4 linked regions of the Arabidopsis thaliana genome follow. The protein of the gene in region 2 interacts with the protein of the main gene of each other region in a biochemical or structural test. Each region holds a gene or a part of one and is shown on either strand. Other genes may lie near its edges. The genes, in order: MPK4, AT2G40290, MPK16 and MPK5.

Region 1 (5,913 bases), on a different chromosome or scaffold from region 2:
AATAGAGAAGCCTCTTAATCACAGAGTCACTTGGATGATGACCATGTTCTCGTCCTTCAACCCTGGAAACGTTCATCAGTCTAATGAATTTGTCGTTGGAACCCGGAAATGGTTGATATTATATTCCTCCTTTTTCCCAAAAACATAACACAACTTATATATAATACTAATAAAAATGCATCACAATATATTTGATCAGGAGAATTAAAGTTCATCCAAGAGGGTCTATGGGTGAAAAAGACAAATCATTTTCTGTGTATCTATCGGCACTAGGGTTTGTCAATAATGCACCAAAGACTAAAACTTACGCGAGGTTCAAGCTGCGTGTATTGGATCAAGTTAGCAGGAATCATGTTGAGAAAACAAGTATGTGTTTATTATGTTTTGGAAAGTCTTGTGATGCATGATGGTTAAATACAGTACTAATCTTTTTCTCCTGGTACGTATAGTTTCGGGTTGGCTTGGTGCAGAACCTGATGACCGCCATGGCTTTGCGGATTTCATGCCTCTAGGGGAACTTGATGACCCTTATTTGGTGAAGGATAAGCTTTATGTGGGAGTTGACTTTGATGTCATTTCCGTCTCTAATTACTGTTAGCTATATAATCAGCAAGAAATATTTATAACGTATGAATAAAATGCTGGAGAATATATATAGTACTATTATGTAACTAAGCTACTGATGCCGTAATGACTTGTGATGTGTGTCGACGTACGTGTTGCTGGAGATGAAGATGATGTGCTTGGCGTGTATTTTCAGTTTATGGGCATAACAAGACAATCTACAAGATTTCATAAGCCCAGTTTATCAACTATAGAGACTTGGTTCTCAATCGTTATTGTTTCTTGTTAGTTTTGTTTTGCAAATAAGATCTTGTTTTTTTTTCAAGGAATCGTGAGCATTCCATTGCTTTTACTACCTATATATATGAGAAAAACGCCAAAAGAAAAGACATAATTTGTTTGCCAAAAGAAACTTGTGTTCCACGTTGGGGATTCTTTGATCTTCGAACACAATCACAACCTCAACGACGTCACTCAAGTCTCCGGCGCTTTGGAATACGAGTTCTGCGACTCTTCTTCTCCTAAAGCCGTCTACAACCCTGGACACGATATCGTAACCCTCACGGAACCAGGTTTTCACTAGTTCATCAGCTCAAACCATGCTCAATGCGCATCGGGACAGAAGCTCGACATTCTTGTCGTTCATGACTCGTCACGTCCCATTCCTCCAACACCACCGAGCAAGATCCTTCCTCCTTGAAATATCTACAGAGTTGGTGTGGCTCCAAGGGATGGAGTGTTCCGCAAGAAAGTTACTTTTATTACAGATGGAGTGAGAAGACGCAGTTTCCGATCGGAGACAGTCTTCTTTTCGAATACGACAACGAAGTCAACGACGTCTTAGAGATCAGCGGGGACCTTGAATTCATATCCTGCTACCCGATTTCTCCCGTAGCCGTGCACATGACAGGCCACGATCTCGTCACGCTCACAGAACCAGGAGTCCATTATTTCATTAGCTCTAAGACTCCAGGTCACTGTTACGCTGGGCTTAAGCTACGAGTCGTGGTCGGACCACTCACCAAAGCCGTACCTGTCCCCAATGTTCCGACGAAGAAGATAGAGTTGTCACTTATGGACCGCTTCAACAGATGGTTACGCACCTTCGGACCTCAACCCCATCATTAAGATAATTAGTGGATGTAATTAGAGTTAAGACTTCTCTGTATTTTCTTTCGACTAAAAAGTAAGGAAATTTAAATACACTCTATTGCAAAACACAGCTCAAAGGTTGTTCTTTTCTTTTTTTCCAATTTTTTAGGATGTTATTCAAATTACAGACATATTATCAAACTTATCAGAGATTTGATAACAAAAGCAGAGCAAAACAAAACATAGCATTTTGATGAGTTTCCTTTTAAGGATATATATCTCTCTCTCTTTCTCTCACACTGAGTCTTGAGGATTGAACTTGACTGTTTCACGGTATATAAGCTCCTTAATGTTCTCTTCTGTCAAAGTAGGTTGCTCGAAATCAAAATTGAACGGCCTCACACATACCGGTTCTTCGTTGATATCATGCAGCGGCGCCAAATATGGGTGGCACAACGCCTCATCAACTACACACACAAAAAACATGTTCAGAAAATAGCCGAAGAAACAGAGAAGCAGTTATATAAAATATAACTCACCTGTGATGCGTCTGCTTGGATCAAAAACAAGCATTTTCTCCAGCAAATCGACTGCACCAGCCGACATGTTTGGGAATCTAGCAGCAAAGTTCTGTCTAGGGTACTGTGGAAGCTGTCTAACGTATCTTCTTGCATTGTCACTTCTTAAGAATCCCAAGCTTGAGTCATCAGGAGATCCTATAAGCTGCTTTCCAAAGATTCATTAATACCGTGAAGAGAGACTAAGTGGTGATTCTTTGGATGAAACATACTAAACTAGATTACCTCAGTGATGAGTCTAAGCTGATGAACATAATCTTTACCGGGAAACAAGGGCTCTCGTGTCATTGTTTCACCGAGTATACAACCGACAGACCAAATATCAATTGCTGCTGTGTATTCAGAGCAATTAAGTAGCAGCTCTGGAGCTCGATACCAACGTGTAACAACATATTCAGTCATAAAGTCAGTCTCGGATTTGGTCCTCGCAAGCCCGAAATCCCCAAGCTTTAGATCACAATTTGCATTCAGGAGCAAATTGCTAGGTTTCAAATCTCGATGCAATACATTAGCTGAATGAACATATTTGAGCCCACGCAACAACTGATACAGAAAAAACTGCAAAACATAATCGAAACTAATTACTAAACACAACTTCAAAGCATAACAAACGAAATCCTTATTAGCTCTCACTTATAAAGTATCAAGCAATACTCATCAGATGCTCTAACACAATAACAGCTGCTTCTAAAGTAGAAACAGAAGATTCAGCTGCTAGATATAAGCAAGATGGAGATTGATGCATACCCGACAATGATCATCAGTTAAGGGTTGGTTAGAGCGAATAATTTGGTGGAGATCAGTGTCCATAAGCTCATAAACAATGTAAACATCATTGAAGTTCTCTCTCTGCGGTGGTTTTATTATATCCTTTACAGCAATCACCTGCACAATAAACCAATATAAGATTCACACAAAAAAAACCAGAGATGCTGATGATTAGTAACACGTACATTTTCATGATCCATATGCTTGAGAAGCTTAATCTCTCTCAAAGTCCTTTTAGCATCGATAATATTGTCAAAAGCATTACCAATCTTCTTGATAGCTACCTCCTCTCCAGTCTCTGAGTTTGTAGCAGCACTGATCAACAATTATCAACACAAGTTATTATAATAACAACAGATTCCAAAACCCTAATTCCCAAATCTAAGAACCCCAGAAGTGAACATTACATGTTTCAAAAACCCAATCTGATTAATTTTGGAACTCACCAGACAATTCCATAAGCGCCTCTACCGATAGGACGAAGAGGAGGAACATACTTTCTAGAAACTTCGAAGAGATTGCCATAGACATTATACTGAACATAGCTACCACCATGAGTAGCCACTCCTTTGCTGCTGCTTTGATCACCCGAGCTTCCGAAACAACTCTCCGCCGACATCGGAGCAAAATTCCTCACAACAACGAAAACGAAGAACCCTAGAGAAATTGAGGAATCGAGAAGATGGGTGTTGACATTTCGTTATAAAGTCTCTACCTTTACCCTTTTTTTTTTATTGAACGGTAAAGAGGAAGTCTCCTCTCGAGTCACCCGTGACCCTTAAACCGGGTTTGCGTCTTCTTCTTTGGTTTTTGTTCTTTTTCTTTGTAATGTCAATTTTCAATTTTGTTTATGGTATCGAGTTGGGTATATCCGATGATTGTGTCTCTAAGTAATTGAGGAACGGGTAAGTGTTTTTAGTCAATTGGTTAAGTTTTGTTTACTGGAGTTTGCTTCTACTAAATCGCGTTATCCCACGAAGTAGAGATTAGATATGGTTATGACTTTTGCCGAAAAAATGTAATTGATGAAGTTTGTAGAATGGAACAAGTTAATGACTTCATGTAGGAATGTTCTTGATATCATATTATAAAGTTTAAAAGAATCTAGATGACAACTTTTCTCCAATAAGAATTTAAGTACGACTTGGTATATTGGTGGTGTACAAGTCAATGGGCGGCCAAATTGTTTTTGACCATAAAACTGACCTTTGATTCCAAAACCATTAGTGAAAAAAGGTTTATGTATAAGATAAAATGACATCATTTTGATTTTTTTTAAAAAATCATGGTTAAACAACTTATATAACCATGTTGAAGTTTGGTGCATTTGTTATTATTAATAGCTAGAATATCTGGTTTGCTTTGATTGATTGATCATGTAACCATGAAAATAACACTGATTTTTTTTGGTCTAGTGATTTACAATGGGCCTCAAGCAAACCCATCACTTATCCATTATCAACTAAGATGAACTAAAGCACAATTCTGACTAACTTGAAAATGTAGTTATAGCTTAGCACCGATTGAAAAGAGAGAGTTATCAATATTTGAAGCGTTTTAAAGTCTCATTTTTATCTGCATTTGTTATTACTTAACATCAACGATACCATAATTACATGTTTCCTCTATATTCACAAACAAGTCTTAGCTCTTTTCCTCTATATTAACACTTTTAACCATCGTTGGCAATGTCACTCCTAGCTCTTCTGCGCATTTCGTCCACAGGCTCTCCAACAATGCGTCTCGGGCAGAGATCACCATCTTCGACAAGCAACGTGTTTCCTTGGAGACTAGCTCAAACCTTTCCGAAAGTTCTATCACTGACTTCTCCAATGGTTCCACTAACAAAATAGGAACCGACCCTTCTTGTACCGCTGTGTAAAGCTTCTTCACACCGGTTTCAACAGCCTCGAGATCTTTTATAACCGTGAATCCGTCTGATAAAAATGTGTTTTTGATCTCCGGGTTAATAGTGTTCTGCAGTTCCATGAAAGCTTGAACCCATGGAAGCTCCTCCATCTCCTTTGGAATGGTTAGATAGAAGAGATTCTTGGAAGAACCCGAGAACGATGCATCAAACACGCTGAATATGTATAAAGTCTTGACCTTTACACCGTATAAAACTCGTAAGAGAACTTTTCCTTCCGCAGAGTATTTCTTCTTCCCCTTCTTGGAGATATGATGATGATGATCCATCGATTCAACCAGCCTACTCAAAACCGCGCCCCAGTTTTCGATACTCGGGTTCTTGGAAACCATGTGCTGATTCCAACGCTGAAGAATATTGCCACTGTTTGTCTCCAGCTTACTAAAAGCAAACTTTAGTAATAGATTGCCATGTTCCAAATGATATATCTCTGAGGTAAAGGCGTTGCAGAGTTCCCGCTTCAAGCTAAAGTCAGAGAAGATATAAATGAAATTCTCCTCCAAATCCGATACTGGAACCTCTAAATCCTTCACGAGCGTCCTGATACTCTTGTGTGTCTCACAAAGAGACTGCATGGCTTGTATCATCCAAGAAACACTAACGATATCATTCTTATCCTTTGGTACAAGTTCTCTAATCGATACCGTCAAGTTAGTCTCGAAATTGTTCAACAGTGAGAGAAGCTTTGGCGATAATCGAGCATTGTTCTTCTTCGTAAACAGAATCTTGAACGGGTTCCGAGAGCGTGTACGTTGTTGGCTCATATCAACTGAAAACACACAGAAAGAAGAAACAAAGTTAGTAATCTGAAACAATGAGCAAACCAATAACATTGTTCTGAATCCAAAATCCGAATCAATAGATCTCAAGAATGCAAAGACAGAACAAAAACCATTACTTTAACCAAACTCGCCGAAGATTAACGAAAACTCACCTAAAGAAAGAGATTCTTCCGAAATGTTACCGCTTACTTCAATGTTACGC
Region 2 (4,941 bases):
GAGGAGAGTGGAGAGGAGTAAAACGACGACGTGTTGTACTGATATCGCCATTGGAGACGAAGATCATTAGAGATCAGTGTTACGAGACGCGTTTCAGGTAAGAGGAAGAGGAAAGTGTGAGCTGAGCTGAGCTCCAAAAGTCGCAACTTTCACATTTCGATTTTGCAGAGAGAGCTTAAGTAATTTTTAATGCGCCGACAGATTAAAAAAGGATTTGTGTCCGAAAGAATTTTTCTTTTCTGATTAGTAGTATAAGACAAGATGTTTGATCTTGTAATAAATCATTTTAATTATGAATCAATTGCAAGTTAACCATTTATGTATCAGACAGAGGATTTTTAAGAATTTCATTTTTGGTAAATTTTCTCAATAGAAGATCGCAGTAGTAATTGATGAATATCTGCATCTTCGGAGACATCAGATCTGAATTAAATCTACACACCTATCATTGCCAGATCCAATCAACCTACTTTCCTGAGGTTTAAACTCAAAAGTATGATCATATTGAGCCAAAGTTTTCCTAAGATAATAATGAGTCATGTGGTGGAGCAACATATTCTTGAGCAGTAGTAACATATGCAAAGAATCAAATCTTTTATAAAACCATGAATGTATGATTGATATGTAACCACCCCCTATGGGTAAAATAAAATGCCTCAGAGTCATCAAAAAGCACATAAATCCTCTCGGAGGTTTTTCTACTGCCTTGTCAAAGCTTAAACCAAAATACTGGGACTGTTGAGATTGGGTAGATTTAATAGAAAGAAAAATCCGGCAATCTTACTCGATGATTCCGGCACCTGCATCGAGATCCACTTCGCCCATACCAGTGTCCTCTTCTTCGTCTCCGCTATCTTCATCGCCGCTCATTTCTTCATTGTCAAGACGTAGCTTAGCCATGTGTTCTGTCAGCATCTTTTCATCACGTTCACTCACCTATATTTGACATAGATTATAAACATTAATAGGCGGTTGTGAACCAAATTAAACAAAACACAAAAGAAAAGCTCGTTCTTGTGACATGCAACTCGAGACGGTTCATCACTTAAAAAAAACTAATTTAAGATACTCACAGCTCTAGCCCCCTCCTTAACGACAAGCTTGCCTTTGTGTGTCTCAATTGTCTCAGTGCATGCTGCTATGGCTTTGTTTAGAATTTCAATCCCTTGTTCCTGTTTAATATTTGAGAAATTGAGAAGATAAAATGGGACAAAACATAGCATTTACACATTTATGGTTTAAGTGAAGACAAATCCGCAGAGCTACATAATTGGCAAACAAAGTTGCAATGTCCAGTGTTTTCTTAAGCATTTACTTTCCTTGCAACTACAGTGTTTTCAAAATTCTGGCAAGTAGCTTTAGTGGATATACAATCTAAACAGAGATCATAAACCTCTTAAAGATAAGTAGGGGAGGATTTCTATAATATACCAATTACCAAACCAAGTAAATCATAGTGCAAGATAGAAGATTGCCTAACCTTGTCAAGTGTCTGAGTAGTAAGGACATACAGAGGTGGAGCAACCAATTTAATCTTAACAGGACAGTCTTCATTTCCAGCGGCTTCAGCATTTTTCATAGCCTCCTGAAATTACAAGCATGGGTGAGAAAATCAAATGAAATCATAATGTATTCATTTCACAAGTTAAAGATAATCTAATAAGAGATACGACCTTAATGTGAACAACTCCATCAAACTGAAAACACTTCAATTCGATATCAGCCCGGATTTTCATTGGTTGTGGTGTCATTCTCCTCCTAATGTTCTTCACAAGTGCATCTTTCACTTCTTCCGTAACAGCAGGTACAACCTTAGTCACCTACAAACAGAAAACTTGTAAGATTAGCACCAAATAAAGTTAGTACTAACCGCTAAAACAATGCCAGAGAACAAAGTATATACCTCTTGCCCATCAGGCCCAACTTCTTTGATCTCACGGGTGAGAGGACCCAACACTGAATCAGGATCCGTCACTAAGATCTTGAAAGCCTGAACAAAAGAAAATTATATATGAGAACTAAATAACCATAGAGATACACAATGAATCTCCAATTCACAAAATTCTTACCTCAAAAGCATGACCATGTCGTCGATACAAAGGCCAACCAATGTTCACATACAAGTCCTGCAACATGAAAGCTCAAATCAATTTCTATTCAACGATCACATCACTAAGCTATGATATTTGATAATATCTCTAACAAGCAAAATCCAAATCCAGTAGATAATCCCAGATTTGAACTACGATATTTTACCTCCAAATCAATTGAAAGAGTCTCAGCAACATGGCGCATGATAGAATGAACAAGTTTGCTCTTGTTATACCTCTCTTCACAAGTCTGAATATCTTCCTCGCTGACTCTACGTTTGCTCAGATCAATGTAACCTTTCTCTTTGTCAACACGGAGAACCATGACAGGCTCAATTCTTCCGACCTTAATCAAACTGCTAACACTTCGGATCCGACGACGAGAGAGCTCGGAGAAAAGGATCATGCCTTCGATGTTGTTGTACTCGAGGAGAGAAACATAAGCTCCCATATCGGCAATGTTCTTCACCTGGATCATCACCGCCATATCCACCTCTGGGTATTTCGCCTCGTACATCCGACACTCGAGATTCGGTGTTTGACTCGCCATGATTGGTAGATTTCGATACTGCTTGAGCTCACGCGAATTCACTCTTCGTTGAATCGGGTAAAGCTACGAGGCGGAGACACTTAGGGTTTTAGACTTTTTAGGCGACGGAGCAAATCAGACAGGTTTCTAGAGATAAGAAATGAGCAAGGAACACAAACGGAAAATGAGTCGACTTGCGTCAAAGATGCCAAGTTAAACGGCACCGTGTCAGTTAAACAATTAGGTTTTAATTGGGCCACAAGATAGTTTCAAGGGGTTAGGGGTTAAAAGCCTATTCGGGTTTCAGACATTTTCGGCCCAACTTCTTTCACAACGTAAGTTTGGATTGATTTCCTTTGCTTATTCATGAATTGCGTTTAAACCGGAGCAAACTAAACTAGAGCTCGAATCCACATTTGGCAGTCCAAAAACATTCTGACCGAACCGATGTAGAATCGATCACCAGGTGGGTTTGATGAACCTTATACCAGAATATAAAGTTATGTGATCATGTCTTTTGTCTCTTACAGAAAAAGAAGTCTACTACCTCACAAAATCGTAAAAGCTAAAGAACTAAACATAAAGTAGACACATATAGAAACACAGTAGACACAAGAGTCCCTCGAAGCTGCTTACCCTTCCAGAAGCATCTGATTGAAATGCCATGTTCCTGAAATTACCCACAAGCATTCAAAGACATATATTAAAACCAAGTTTGAGGCACGACGTAGGATGAATAAGTGGATTTTCTTGTTCTTTTATAAATTTATAGATTAGAACAAAATGTGAGAGATTATTTATGTACCGTGTCCTTTGCCAACTCGTCGCAGTTGAGCCACATATTCTGAGATCAACTTGATTGCTTCCACCTGAGAAATGTTTTATTTTATCAAAAATTCCTATTAGATTCTCTTTGATAGCTTATATACAACAGTAGCTCTTTGCCACTAACATAGAACACCAAATAAATTACCTGCTCTGTCAGAAACTCGCTCTCAATAAAATCTGCCAAGTGGACATCATTGTTCTTCGAAGCAACCTGTTGAAGCAAAGCATTACCAAACTGAGAACAGTTCTTGCCGAGTGAAGATTAGATTTACTTCTCAAATACGGATTTGACATATATAGTATGAACTCAAGAAGAGATGGTCTTTACACTGTGAAGGTTTAAGAGCTTCTCATTAACTAGTTTCTCCAGTGACAGAGCAAGCTCCATGCCTGCAACAACAAATCACAGAATTGTATGTTAAAATTCCTATATCCATTGAGACTTGAATCTCCATATGAGAGATACATTTTCATAATACTTAAGAACTCAGATAAAATTCAGTCTTTGCTAGTGAAAATATGCAATCTCTTCAAAAGCTTAACAAAATCATTGGTGTCAATATCTAATTTCTTAGAATGTGGCAGACATATGAAACTAAAGAAGTTTTTTCACTTGGGATTATTAGTGTTAGCATTTTTGAGCTTACCATAAAGAGCATCTCCTTTGTCAACATGTTCAAACTCTGAAAGAGGCATTACAATGGACTGTAACTTAACCCTCCCACCACGTTTGTTCTGCAATTCATGGAAAAAAACTAAAACATGTTAGAACCAAATTAGCTCCAATAAGGTAAACAAATGGAAATAACTTTCATAAGACCTGATACTCCATTAACTTCTCAGCATGCTCTCTTTCTTCCAAACTTGATTCCTTAAAGAACCTGATTCCATGAAACCAACAATTAACTATGGATAAACAAAAAAAATCCGAAAATATCAACACTCTTGAATAACCGGAGACTCACTTGGCAAGACCTTTGAGCGCGATGTTATCCCGATCAAAGTAAGCATACATAGCGTGATACACATACGAGACATTGTATTCCACACTGCAACCAAAATCCATTGAAGAATTTCAAATTCACAGGTTCATAAACAATAAGCAGAATCAACATGAGGTTCCAAGTTACCAAATCTTATAGCCAATCAACCAGATTATAATACCGAATCTAAGAGACTGGGGTGAGAAAGAATAACCTACTTGATCTGCTCGTTAATGGCGGCTTCGCACTCGTCTGAGTACTTTTGTCGAGCGAGTGAGAGATGAGAGCTGGTAGGGACGAGATCGAGCTCCTTTTTTACTTCCTTAAACGGCTCGAAGACAACGCCGCTTAGCGCGTCGGTGGTTGAGCTTTTAGATGCGCGAAAAGAGAAAGTTAAGTTTCCAGATTTTCCAGAAGAAACTCGAAGATTCGATGAAATGGAAGGTAACAAAGGAGACACATCCTTCTTCACGCCATGGAAATTCACCAGCGAGAGAGCTGAAGAAGAAGA
Region 3 (5,563 bases), on a different chromosome or scaffold from region 2:
CGGTTGCAACTACTTTGGCCCTAGCAGAGCAGCATCATTGTTTGCAGCTAAAAGCAGTGTGTCTCAAATTCGTGGCACTGCCAGAGAACCTGAAAGGTAAACACACAAGATCTTTCTTTTTAATCGATCTGAATCAACTCTGTTCACATGATGAGACTTGTGTCTGTTTTTTCCCTTTTGTTATGATCAGCTGTGATGCAAACAGATGGGTTTGATTATCTGAAAGAGAGTTGCCCATCTTTACTAACGGAGCTATTGCAGTATGTGGCGAGGCTAAGTGAACACTCTGTTATAGTATCTGGACATCGAAAAGAAATATTTGCCGATGGTTGTGACGCGAGTGGAAGACGAGTGAAGCCCCGGTTGCACTGAATGGGAGAGAAAGAAGAAAGATTTGTGCATTGTATAATCTCTGTTATGGATAATGGCTGATCTAATCGGATCTAGCAAGTACAATGAATCGTTTTCAACGCGTTTTCTCATAAATCAAAGATCCAATGAAATTTGGGGTTTATTGTTGGTGCATATCAGATTATTAGGTGAAACAGATTGAGTTCATGGGATATAAGAATCGTAGACAGTGTAAGTGTTACAACGTAGATAAACAAAGGTTGTTTTAAGAATACAAAACTATGAAGACAAATTACATGACAGGATCTGTAAGAACTTCTTTTATCTTCTCACGCTTCCTTCTCTCATTTCGCTCTTAAGCATGTCTTCACGTTTCGGCTCTTGATAACACAATGGATGACTCAAAGGGATACTCTTTTTAGCTCTCCCTGAGACGTGAGGTGGTAAAGCTAAAACTAGAACCATAACATCATGTTTAATACCAGCGACTCATTGCAGTATCTTGTGCTGCAGACACTTTTTGTGGTATATACTGAGTGTTTGGCTTCAATCTACTTGGACCTTCAGCAGCGGTGGCGCAATCTTCATCTCCTCTGTTGCTTTTGCAAGGTTGAGTCCTCTTTGGGTATTGAGACGCAGCAGCTGGATTTCTGACCATCCTTCTCTGTTGTTGTTCAAGAGCTTCAACGCCTGTGGCTGCGCCGCAGTTGTTATAGCGTAACACTGATCCAACTACTTTACCAGGCCTAGCTACTGCAGCACCTGCTTCATTACAACCAGATAAATGTTCAGGAGACAGAGTTATTCTGCATCATAACATTATATACAGAGAGGGTGAGAGACCTTGGATTGTTTGAGGGACGTTGATAGGAATTCTCGACATTGGCATCTGGGCATTCCTGTCTGCACCCCGAGGTCTCTCGTCTCTAATGCTACACTTGGAGAGTCCATCAGTGACTTCAGCTGAACTCTGTTGTGCCACCGGATGATTGTTATCAGAGTACAATACGCAAGCCCTGCAAAACATAAAAAGAGGCTTTGTTGAGCTGTTTCGAAAGAATCCCAAATGATCAAATTTTTAAAGGACGTAAAGCATACCTTGGTAATGATGCATGCTGTTGCCTCTCAGGGGGATTATGAGAAGTACCATTCTTGTAGTGTTCCTCGAGGTAAGCAAATTGTTTCTTGAAATGTTCCACCGCACTGCAGAATGAATAATACATTAACCATAAGAACATGGATAATACACAGGAGTATAGTATGAAGCAGGTCAGCTCAGGCCGGTACCTCGGGTACATAAAGTTAGTTGGCTCTGATCCATCCAAGTATTCTTTCAGCATCTTTGGGTGGTACTCCAGAGACTCTCTGTATATGAGCTCTCGGACGTCTTCTTTTGTGATCCTCCGCCTTTCAAACTCAAATTCCAACTTTGTGACAGGTTGAGCAGAAGGCTCTCTTTCAACCTTAGCTAAACCCTTGAAGTACACATCTGCAAGCGCCTGAGGTAACACATAAAACCATTTAGTTAGCTATAACCAAAGTTACATCATAAGGAGTGTAAAGAACGAAATGTATGAACCACCTCTTCAGCTGTAGGCCGGTCCTTGGGTTCAAAAGACAACATCTTTTCTAGAAGACGAAGAGCAAGAGGATCAGTATGTGGGAACTTATGTGAAAAAGGAATAGGCTTCTTCTTCCTCATGCTGCTCAAGTATCTTCGAGCTTTCTCGTTCCTAACCTGTTTCAGTGTAAGAAATTCAGCCAAAAAAAGAAACAATGCTTAAGCATTGTGGAAAGGAACACATACCCTTCCAATGGCTTCAGCAGATGGAGTTCCCAGCATATCCGTCATCAGATCCAATTGATGGACCACATTTTTCCCGGGGAAAAGAGGTTTCCCTGTTAAGAGTTCTGCAAAAATGCACCCGATGCTCCATATATCTATTGCCGGTGTATACTGAACAGAAGCATAGATAAAGAAAAAAAATGTTACCATAAAATTTTATAATCTGAATGAGAGAGCTATAGTGTCTACTGACTAGATTCCCTATGAAAATTTGAAACATTCGATGAAAGTATATATACAAAATCATGGTCACCTTTGAGAAAAAAGATCCACATAGTTCTGGAGCCCTGTACCATCGAGTAGCTACATAATCCTGCGATCAGAAAGCAGTAGGAATAAAAAATTGGTTTCATACCAAAAAGAGTAAACTTGTAAAGAGTAAGCATTTAAATTACTACTACTCACAGTCCAGAATATCGCAGTCGGTGTATCATTGAATGCGACTCTTGCAAGTCCAAAATCACAGATCTTGAGTTTGCAATCAGCATTTGCCAATATGTTTTTGGGTTTAAGATCCCGATGAAAGACATTAGCTGAAAGGAAGAGAAAAAAAAAGTATTTTCAGAAAGATAATCATAAACTTATACTAATCAATGAAATTTTATTGCTCGCTAGCTTAACCTGTGTGTATATACTTGAGGCCACGAAGAAGCTGATAGAGGAAAAACTGATAATGCTCAGGAGTCAAATCATCATTTGCCTTAATAACCTGATGCAAATCAGATTCCATAAGCTCGAAAACCACGTAAATGTCTCGAAACTCTCTTCTTGAAGGCGGCAACAAGATGTGTTTGATCTCAACAATGTCAGGATGGCGTAAGAGTCTAAGAAGTTTGATCTCACGAAGAATGCGAGTTGCATCCGAAACATGCTCAAAGATATCATTGATTTTCTTAATCGCAACTTTCTCTCCGGTATGTGTATCGTAAGCAGAACAGACAACTCCATAACTTCCTTTACCAATCACTTCCTCTATTCTGTATCTGCTTCCTTCACCATATTCCGTGAAGAAATCTACCTCAACTGATGACTGAATATACAGAAAAATCTATTGTCAATATCAAAAGCTTCAATACAGAGAAAGATTAGGACTAAACTAAAAGGCAGTAACAGTAAAAAGGATTGCTACAGATCCTAATCAGTTCTAATAAGCAAATCTGATACATAAGAGATTGAAAAATTGGACCTTTTTGCGGTGATCAGGCTGCATCTTCAGCTACAGGGCATTCAAAGGACGCTTACGAAGACCAAATGTAATAGCTTCTGAAACCCAAACTTAGTGAGCTTTTGAATCAAAAAAATGCAAAGACTGAGAATTTTAGTTCCAAAGGCAATGTCAAAAACAGAGAGCTCTATATCCAAATCCCGAAATCCAGAATCGATTGAAACAAATCAGAGTAGTTCCCGAGACCAAAAAAAAGGAGGCAAATTTATGGGGTGAAACAAGGAATAACCTAATCGAGATTTCTTTGCTTTTTGAAGTGAAATCAAAGAGATCAAAAGAAGGAAGCGATGGGTAATTTGAGAATCACTGAGATTGAAGAAAGACGAGGTTTTTATCTTCTTCGATCAATCTCTCTGCTTGAAATGGCTAAAAGGAAAAAGGAGAGAGTTTTTGAAAGTCGAGAGAAGCTTTTATGGTTCAGAAACCCAAAAATGATTCTTTTGAGCTAATAAAATTTCTTTACAGGATCTGAAATCTCACGAAGCAGACGAAGAGGCAAGTTTATTTGCTCACTTTTGTAGAAGAAAGTGTAGAGAGGAGAGATCTATGAGATGAAGAACAGAACAGAACAAATTATTAAAATATTATTATTATTCGTTTCTTTTATTGTGATAATTGAAAAAAGCGGATAAGTGGAGTCTGATTATCGTTGTACGAAAACTCCAATTTGCCCCCCAAGGTTTATGGGTACTTGCGACTTTTGTCTTAAATCTAGCTTTTGGATAATGTCCAAACGTCGAATATAATACAGTGTGGATATTTTTGTATAAACTATTTTAATATATGCTCTTCTTAATGAATAGATATCCGATTTATTATGGATTAGTGATGACTTATAATTATTACAATAATAAATAGTTCGTTTACTTTATAATTTTCTTTCGTGTCATAGTCGTTGTTAAAGACATATAAATGAAGTGGATTATCCTATATTTCGAATCCGATTGAAATGAGTGGTTTAAATTTTTTTTCGTATGCAGTTAATGAGTAATCTTACTTATTTTTAAGATATAGAATTTGACCGATAAGACATACTTAATTATCTAGAGACAATATTTATGAGTTATGTACAATGGTACAAGAAACTTACAAAAACTTATATATGCAATCGTCAATCTAGTATTTTATTTGAAATATGTATTTCGTATCTAATATCTTCTGTCTTTGGTGGGTTCTTTGAAATTGCTTCATAACTGTAGGTGCTTGCATGCGTAAACTTTTGCATGGTTGGAAAAATTGCATTTGCATCGATTTCAAACGTATAAATAAAGCGAAGCTTTAAATCTTCAAGTAGATGTCACTACAAGAAAACACGCCAGTTGCGAGGGAAGAAACCGTCGCTAGTCTCTCGCAAAAAGCATTTAGCGAGGGAATTGCGACGAACTCCAGTTCCTCGCAAAACGCGCGTCGTAAAATCAAATTCGTAGCAAGTTCCTCGCAAATGTTGCGAGGAACAAGTTGCCTCGCAAAACACACGCAATTTGCAAGGGAAGCAATCCGTAGCAAATTCACAGCAAATTTCGGGTCTCGCAAGTTTCTCGCTAGTTGCGACGGACGACCAGACTCGCGAAGCACACGCAATTTGCGAGGGACGTACTCGGTAGCATATTAGCTGCAACAGTAGCCTCGCTCTTTCCTCGCAAGTTGCGAGGGAATACTTCAGTAGCAAAGTAGTCGCAAATTCTTTGTCCCGCTAATGCCTCGCAAAATTTGCGATGGATTTGCGTGGCTTTTATCTGTAGTCGCAAATCCGTAGTAAAGTTTGCGATGGATTCGCGGTAAATAAGCGACTCTTTTCTGTTTTGTTTTAAGCATGATTACTGTTGAATATAGGGATTACTGTTCTACTTAACAATATTTAATGGTTATCTTAATTGGATTTTTATACTAAACTTTGAAGTTGAATACTAATTAAGAAACCTTAAACTCATATTTAAAAGCTGAAATTTTAGGTTTCAAGTACAGAAAAAGAAACTGAATACAGAATGTTAGAAGGCCAAATAATTTTACATAACAAACCAACAAAAGATTCAAGTTTTGATGAGTGAAAAAGAAACTTAATACAGAATGTTAGAAAGCCTCAGATGGAGATGACCCAGTGTTTGGGTTAGCTACAACAGCCTCAGGTTCGACAGCTTCAG
Region 4 (4,706 bases), on a different chromosome or scaffold from region 2:
AAATCTTACGTACTAAAAATGAGGTCATTTAACAGTAGTTTCTTCCATTTGCGACATTGTTATCATACTTATATGATTTGTTTTCTTTCTTACTTTGTTTTGGAAGCAACCAAGCAACCTTCGTAAATGAAATCGTCGAGAAGGTTAAGGCAATGCTTGACAACGTTTCCTCATCACACGTACGTAATCCTATTAAATCAAAAATTATGTAGTTCTAGAATTAGAGAAATTGAAATATTGCCAATGACAAAGAAAAAAAAAAGGTGTGTACAAAAGAACATACTGTATGTTAATTATATATATATAATTATTGTATAAATCTAGTGGCTAATCATTGTAAAATCTCTAGATTACGCCGCAACATCAAGTTTACATAAGTTTTCGGAGTCGAGAGATCCGCAACAAGTTCTCCAGCCTTCTTAGAGCCGCGTTACGAAGGAGTGGGATCAACGTCCTTCTAGATGATGAAAATATCACTCGAATAGAGTCAAGAGACGAAGTTGATAGACTTTTTTGTCGAGTTTCGAGAGTGAAGGATCGAACTAGTGTTCATTACCAAAATTTGCAAGAGCTCGACGTAGTGCTTGAAGAAACTGCTGGAGATGAATAAACACATCGAGTTTTTCCCATTTTCTACGAGTACAATCCAAGTGACATGATACAAGTCTAAACAAAGATAGCTTTTTAATTTAATTTCTTGAGTTACAAGATAACAACATGATATGTAGAAGAAACAGAACACTATCTAAGACATCCTGATAATAAGAATGGACATAACTACTAAAGATATGTCTTGGGTTACAAGGATCCTTATAGAACAATTTCTTGAGTTGCAAGACAGCTTTTTTAACTAGTGAAATAGCTTAAACAACGATCAACATGAGATGAAGGAGAAACAGAGCTTAAACACTACTAATTTGTTTTGCTCAATGTCAGAGTATAAAACTTGCTTTCCCCTTCTTAAATAATGTTTTAAATGCTCGGCAGAGGATTGAACTTCACAGATTCGAGCCACACAAGCTCCTTTATCTCTTCTTCAGTGGAAGACGGATCCTCAAAATGGAAACTGAAATGGTTGGAACAAACAGGCTCGTCGTTAAGGTCGTGAAGAGCTGACAAGTAAGGATAACACAGTGCTTCCTCAACTGCAAAACAAAGAGTATGATCAAGGATTCATCACCCATATGCCAATCTCGCTATGTACAATTTTTCTCATCATACCCGTGATACGTTTTACTGGATCAAACACGAGCATTTTCTCTAGTAGATCGATAGCTGTAGAATTCATACTAGGAAACCTAGCTGAAAAGTTTTGTCTTGGGAACTTAGGTAGCTCCTTAACATATTTTCTCGCGTTCGCGCTTCTGAGAAACTCTAGACTCGCTCCATCAGGTGATCCTATCAACTACTCAACCACATGAAACAACTCATAAACACATTGCAACACACAAATAAAAGTTTCCAACATTTGTACAGATCTTTCTAAAACAGAACATCATACCTCAGTGATAAGTTTAAGCTGATGAACGTAATCCTTCCCCGGGAAAAGCGGTTCCCTTGTCATAATCTCAGCAAATATGCAACCAACAGACCATACATCAATAGCAGATGTATACTCAGAACTATTAAGAAGCAGCTCTGGTGCTCTGTACCATCGTGTTACAACATACTCTGTCATATACTCTGTTTCTGATGTAGTCCTTGCCAAACCAAAGTCAGTAATCTTAAGATCGCAATTCGAATTCAAAAGCAAATTACTCGGCTTAAGGTCACGATGTAAAACATTTGCTGAATGAATATATTTGAGTCCTCGTAGAATCTGATACAAGAAGTACTGCAAAAGAAGAAAAAGTGAATCACTTGTGATTAAATCAACCATAGTATCAAATATAGCAGAGTAAAAACCGTACCTGACAATGATCATCATTCAAAGATTGGTTTGATCGAATAATCTGATGAAGATCAGTATCCATTAACTCAAAAACTATATAAACATCAACGAAATCTTCCTTCTTTGGTGGTCTAATGATATCTTTTATAACAACAACCTGTACAAGTCAAGACCACATTAGCTAGAAACTCTAATCGTTTACCGCGAAAATAGAGTACAAAACTTACGTTCTCGTGTTCTAAATGACGAAGTAGCTTAATCTCTCTCAATGTTCTCTTTGCATCTACTTTATTATCAAAGGCTTTACCTATCTTCTTTATCGCAATCTCTTCGTGTGTCTCCGAATCTACTGCAGCACTATAACAATAAACCAATACTCTCATGAATCATTTTGCTTATACATAAACACAAACACAAACAAATCATCAAATTCATTCAATTTAAACTATGATTTTGAAGACAGAACCTTTCTTAAATCCAAAAAAGATCAAATTTTGCAAGCAACCCTAATTCAAAAACCTATACCAATACTTAGTTCTTTATCTAATTAGGGTTACAAATACTAAGTAAGAAACAAGAATATGAAATACACAAAAGGGTAGAAGTTGTACCAGACAAAACCGTAAGCTCCTCTACCAATAGGTCGAATAGGAGGAACATACTTATTAGAAACTTCAAACAAGTTTCCATAAACATTGTATTGAAAATATCTTCCTCCATGAACAAGAACTCCTTTGATGTTAGTATCACCTAAATCTGTCGCTGATTCAATTTCCTTCGCCATTTTTTTCAAATATCGAGATAATACAGAAGAAACCCAGAAAATCAAACTTTGAATACAAGATTTTTGGAGATGAGATCGATTCGATTCGTCTCTGCAAAATTAAAATAATGATTTTGTTGAATGTTGAAAACTTTGAAAATCTAAGGAGATAGAGAGAGACGCGTCAGAGGACAACGACTCTTTTTCATTAGTTTGAATATTTTGAATAGGTCAAAACGTATCGTCACATGTCCATCAGCCACGTGTACTTTGTAATAAATACAGATGGGTAAACGTTTGGGCCTGGCCCATCTATTTAATATAGAGAGAGGTATGCTATCAGCTCTGGTCTATGTTATGAGGCCCACGTAATATGAAAGTAAGAGACCTTTTCCTTTTCACCTATCAATACACATCTCTCACTAAAGGAATTCTTCGCAACAGATACTGAGATACAATACAAGTTGGAGTTTAATCTCTCCTCTTCTACTTGATGATTCTCATCCAAAACTACATACTTTCATTCTAAGGTATGTATTCCATATAATCAATTCATACTTTGTGGTGCGAGCGTAATGGTAGACGTCATGGTAACTCTTCTGTTCCTTCGGCCAAGCTTGCAAGTATTATCGACAAGAACGTTAGAAACCGCTCCATCAGCACAATTTGGATCTCGGGAAACTCGGTTTATGAAGAGGGCCTCCACTATTGGTTCCACACCCGTATTCCATAGATTCCTTCAAATGTTATAGTCTCTTCGTTTTCAAACTTTCAACTCAAAGTCACATTCATTATACAATTTTTTTTGGTGAATATCATATTATTCACTTAATATATCAGTAACATCTTATATGTACATATAACAGTTGACATATTAAACCAATATCGAATAGAATGTTATCTTTTACTTAATATATTAATTTATACTATTCACCAAATTGTCATTAAAATTACGTTTTGAACTCTGGAATATCGCGAGTTTACCAATTTACTCATAATCTTCAACTTTTCTATATAAAAAAAAGAAAATTAATATGGATCATATTATACGAGGTTTCTTTTGATAACTTAATCTTTTGAGTCAAATTTACGCAGAACCTAAATATAATTAACTTGTGATGCTCAAACTACAACCCTTAAAATACCCTAAATTGTTCAATATTTTCCTCGTAAAATACCCCATATCTAACTCAAATCACTCGCACTTACACATCAAATATGACTAGGCCGACACAATATAATATATATCCAATAATTACATGTTATTTAATTGGTACGACAATCTCCGACAACGATACCATTACCAATACCAATCTCTTTTAGCCATATTCATGCTAAAAGTGTAGTGGCAGATCCAATTCACTTTTATTATTGATCTTCTCCACTGATTGGCTTAATTTGATGTGGCATTCAATTAGATTAATTAGATCTCCAACATTATCCATGCTTTATAACTCATGACTCACGTGACTGTTTTTTTTCCCTCAAGTTTTGTTTCGTTTATCTTCACAATATTTTTAGATATCCTAAATTGAAAACATAATAGACATGATTGTTGAATTATGTAGGTAAATCTCTCAGTTAGAAATACTGGGTTTGAGGCATGTTGGAAGAGATTTCTTTCCCAAAGGATATGAATTTAATCTGGTGTGGATCCCGCCTCTAGAAAATGTAAGGTCTTTGAGTTTGAATTTCCAGATATTCAAAAAAAATAAAAAAACAAAAAGACAACAACTCTAAGCATAATAATTTACTCAAGTTGATATGTGGTGAACTATTCAATGTGAAACGTTTGCGCTCTATTATTGGTATGCTGTATTATTAGTGTGACGGTATGACACAACGGAACTTCCAATATATATGTTGTACAATTCTAAATTGGATTTTACCGGGGGAAAATATCTTGATCAAGTACGAAATATGAGTGGCTTGAGTGTATTGTATATTTGTATGTATATGGATACTAATAAATAATCTTTGTTCCGTGGGAAAAGATTGTGTAATTTTTGGTTCATAGTAACAAGATTAAGAAATTTAAATCGGAAATTAGTA

What was found.
Region 1: of the proteins of AT2G40290 (region 2) and MPK4, one has a biochemical effect on the other in vitro, tested with the Arabidopsis thaliana proteins (one large-scale study listed by BioGRID).
Region 3: of the proteins of AT2G40290 (region 2) and MPK16, one has a biochemical effect on the other in vitro, tested with the Arabidopsis thaliana proteins (one large-scale study listed by BioGRID).
Region 4: of the proteins of AT2G40290 (region 2) and MPK5, one has a biochemical effect on the other in vitro, tested with the Arabidopsis thaliana proteins (one large-scale study listed by BioGRID).

The regions. Positions count from the first base shown.
Region 1 is NC_003075.7:564,927-570,839, reverse strand, and holds MPK4 (MAP kinase 4), read right to left. Parts: upstream 3,924-5,913; 5' UTR 3,622-3,923; coding exon 3,449-3,621; intron 3,318-3,448; coding exon 3,188-3,317; intron 3,120-3,187; coding exon 2,982-3,119; intron 2,793-2,981; coding exon 2,460-2,792; intron 2,380-2,459; coding exon 2,196-2,379; intron 2,124-2,195; coding exon 1,951-2,123; 3' UTR 1,693-1,950; coding exon of another isoform or gene 1,276-1,692; 3' UTR 1,118-1,275; coding exon of another isoform or gene 974-1,117; 3' UTR 836-973; coding exon of another isoform or gene 764-835; 3' UTR 599-763; downstream 1-598. Other genes in the region: AT4G01390 (TRAF-like family protein), read left to right, coding at 1-111, 200-366, 450-598; AT4G01380 (plastocyanin-like domain-containing protein), read left to right, coding at 764-835, 974-1,117, 1,276-1,692; BPS3 (BPS1-like protein), read right to left, coding at 4,647-5,693. UniProt on the Arabidopsis thaliana protein: The ANPs-MKK6-MPK4 module is involved in the regulation of plant cytokinesis during meiosis and mitosis. Essential to promote the progression of cytokinesis and for cellularization (formation of the cell plate) during male-specific meiosis.
Region 2 is NC_003071.7:16,828,250-16,833,190, forward strand, and holds AT2G40290 (Eukaryotic translation initiation factor 2 subunit 1), read right to left. Parts: upstream 2,978-4,941; 5' UTR 2,641-2,977; coding exon 2,257-2,640; intron 2,127-2,256; coding exon 2,070-2,126; intron 1,991-2,069; coding exon 1,904-1,990; intron 1,821-1,903; coding exon 1,674-1,820; coding exon of another isoform or gene 1,623-1,673; exon of another isoform or gene 1,586-1,622; coding exon 1,481-1,585; intron 1,173-1,480; coding exon 1,074-1,172; exon of another isoform or gene 1,070-1,073; intron 937-1,069; coding exon 781-936; 3' UTR 517-780; downstream 1-516. Other genes in the region: AT2G40280 (S-adenosyl-L-methionine-dependent methyltransferases superfamily protein), read right to left, coding at 1-51; FER4 (ferritin 4), read right to left, coding at 3,252-3,289, 3,425-3,488, 3,593-3,658, 3,776-3,837, 4,095-4,182, 4,268-4,328, 4,413-4,496, 4,649-4,941. UniProt on the Arabidopsis thaliana protein: Functions in the early steps of protein synthesis by forming a ternary complex with GTP and initiator tRNA. This complex binds to a 40S ribosomal subunit, followed by mRNA binding to form a 43S pre-initiation complex.
Region 3 is NC_003076.8:6,344,270-6,349,832, forward strand, and holds MPK16 (mitogen-activated protein kinase 16), read right to left. Parts: upstream 3,999-5,563; 5' UTR 3,408-3,998; coding exon 3,384-3,407; intron 3,228-3,383; coding exon 2,819-3,227; intron 2,731-2,818; coding exon 2,603-2,730; intron 2,511-2,602; coding exon 2,451-2,510; intron 2,309-2,450; coding exon 2,159-2,308; intron 2,090-2,158; coding exon 1,934-2,089; intron 1,851-1,933; coding exon 1,639-1,850; intron 1,555-1,638; coding exon 1,450-1,554; intron 1,368-1,449; coding exon 1,195-1,367; intron 1,114-1,194; coding exon 827-1,113; 3' UTR 501-826; downstream 1-500. Other genes in the region: BPM1 (BTB-POZ and MATH domain 1), read left to right, coding at 1-96, 191-372.
Region 4 is NC_003075.7:6,890,112-6,894,817, reverse strand, and holds MPK5 (MAP kinase 5), read right to left. Parts: upstream 2,893-4,706; 5' UTR 2,676-2,892; coding exon 2,503-2,675; intron 2,249-2,502; coding exon 2,119-2,248; intron 2,049-2,118; coding exon 1,911-2,048; intron 1,835-1,910; coding exon 1,502-1,834; intron 1,406-1,501; coding exon 1,222-1,405; intron 1,146-1,221; coding exon 973-1,145; 3' UTR 611-972; downstream 1-610. Other genes in the region: AT4G11340 (Disease resistance protein (TIR-NBS-LRR class) family), read left to right, coding at 107-179, 350-610.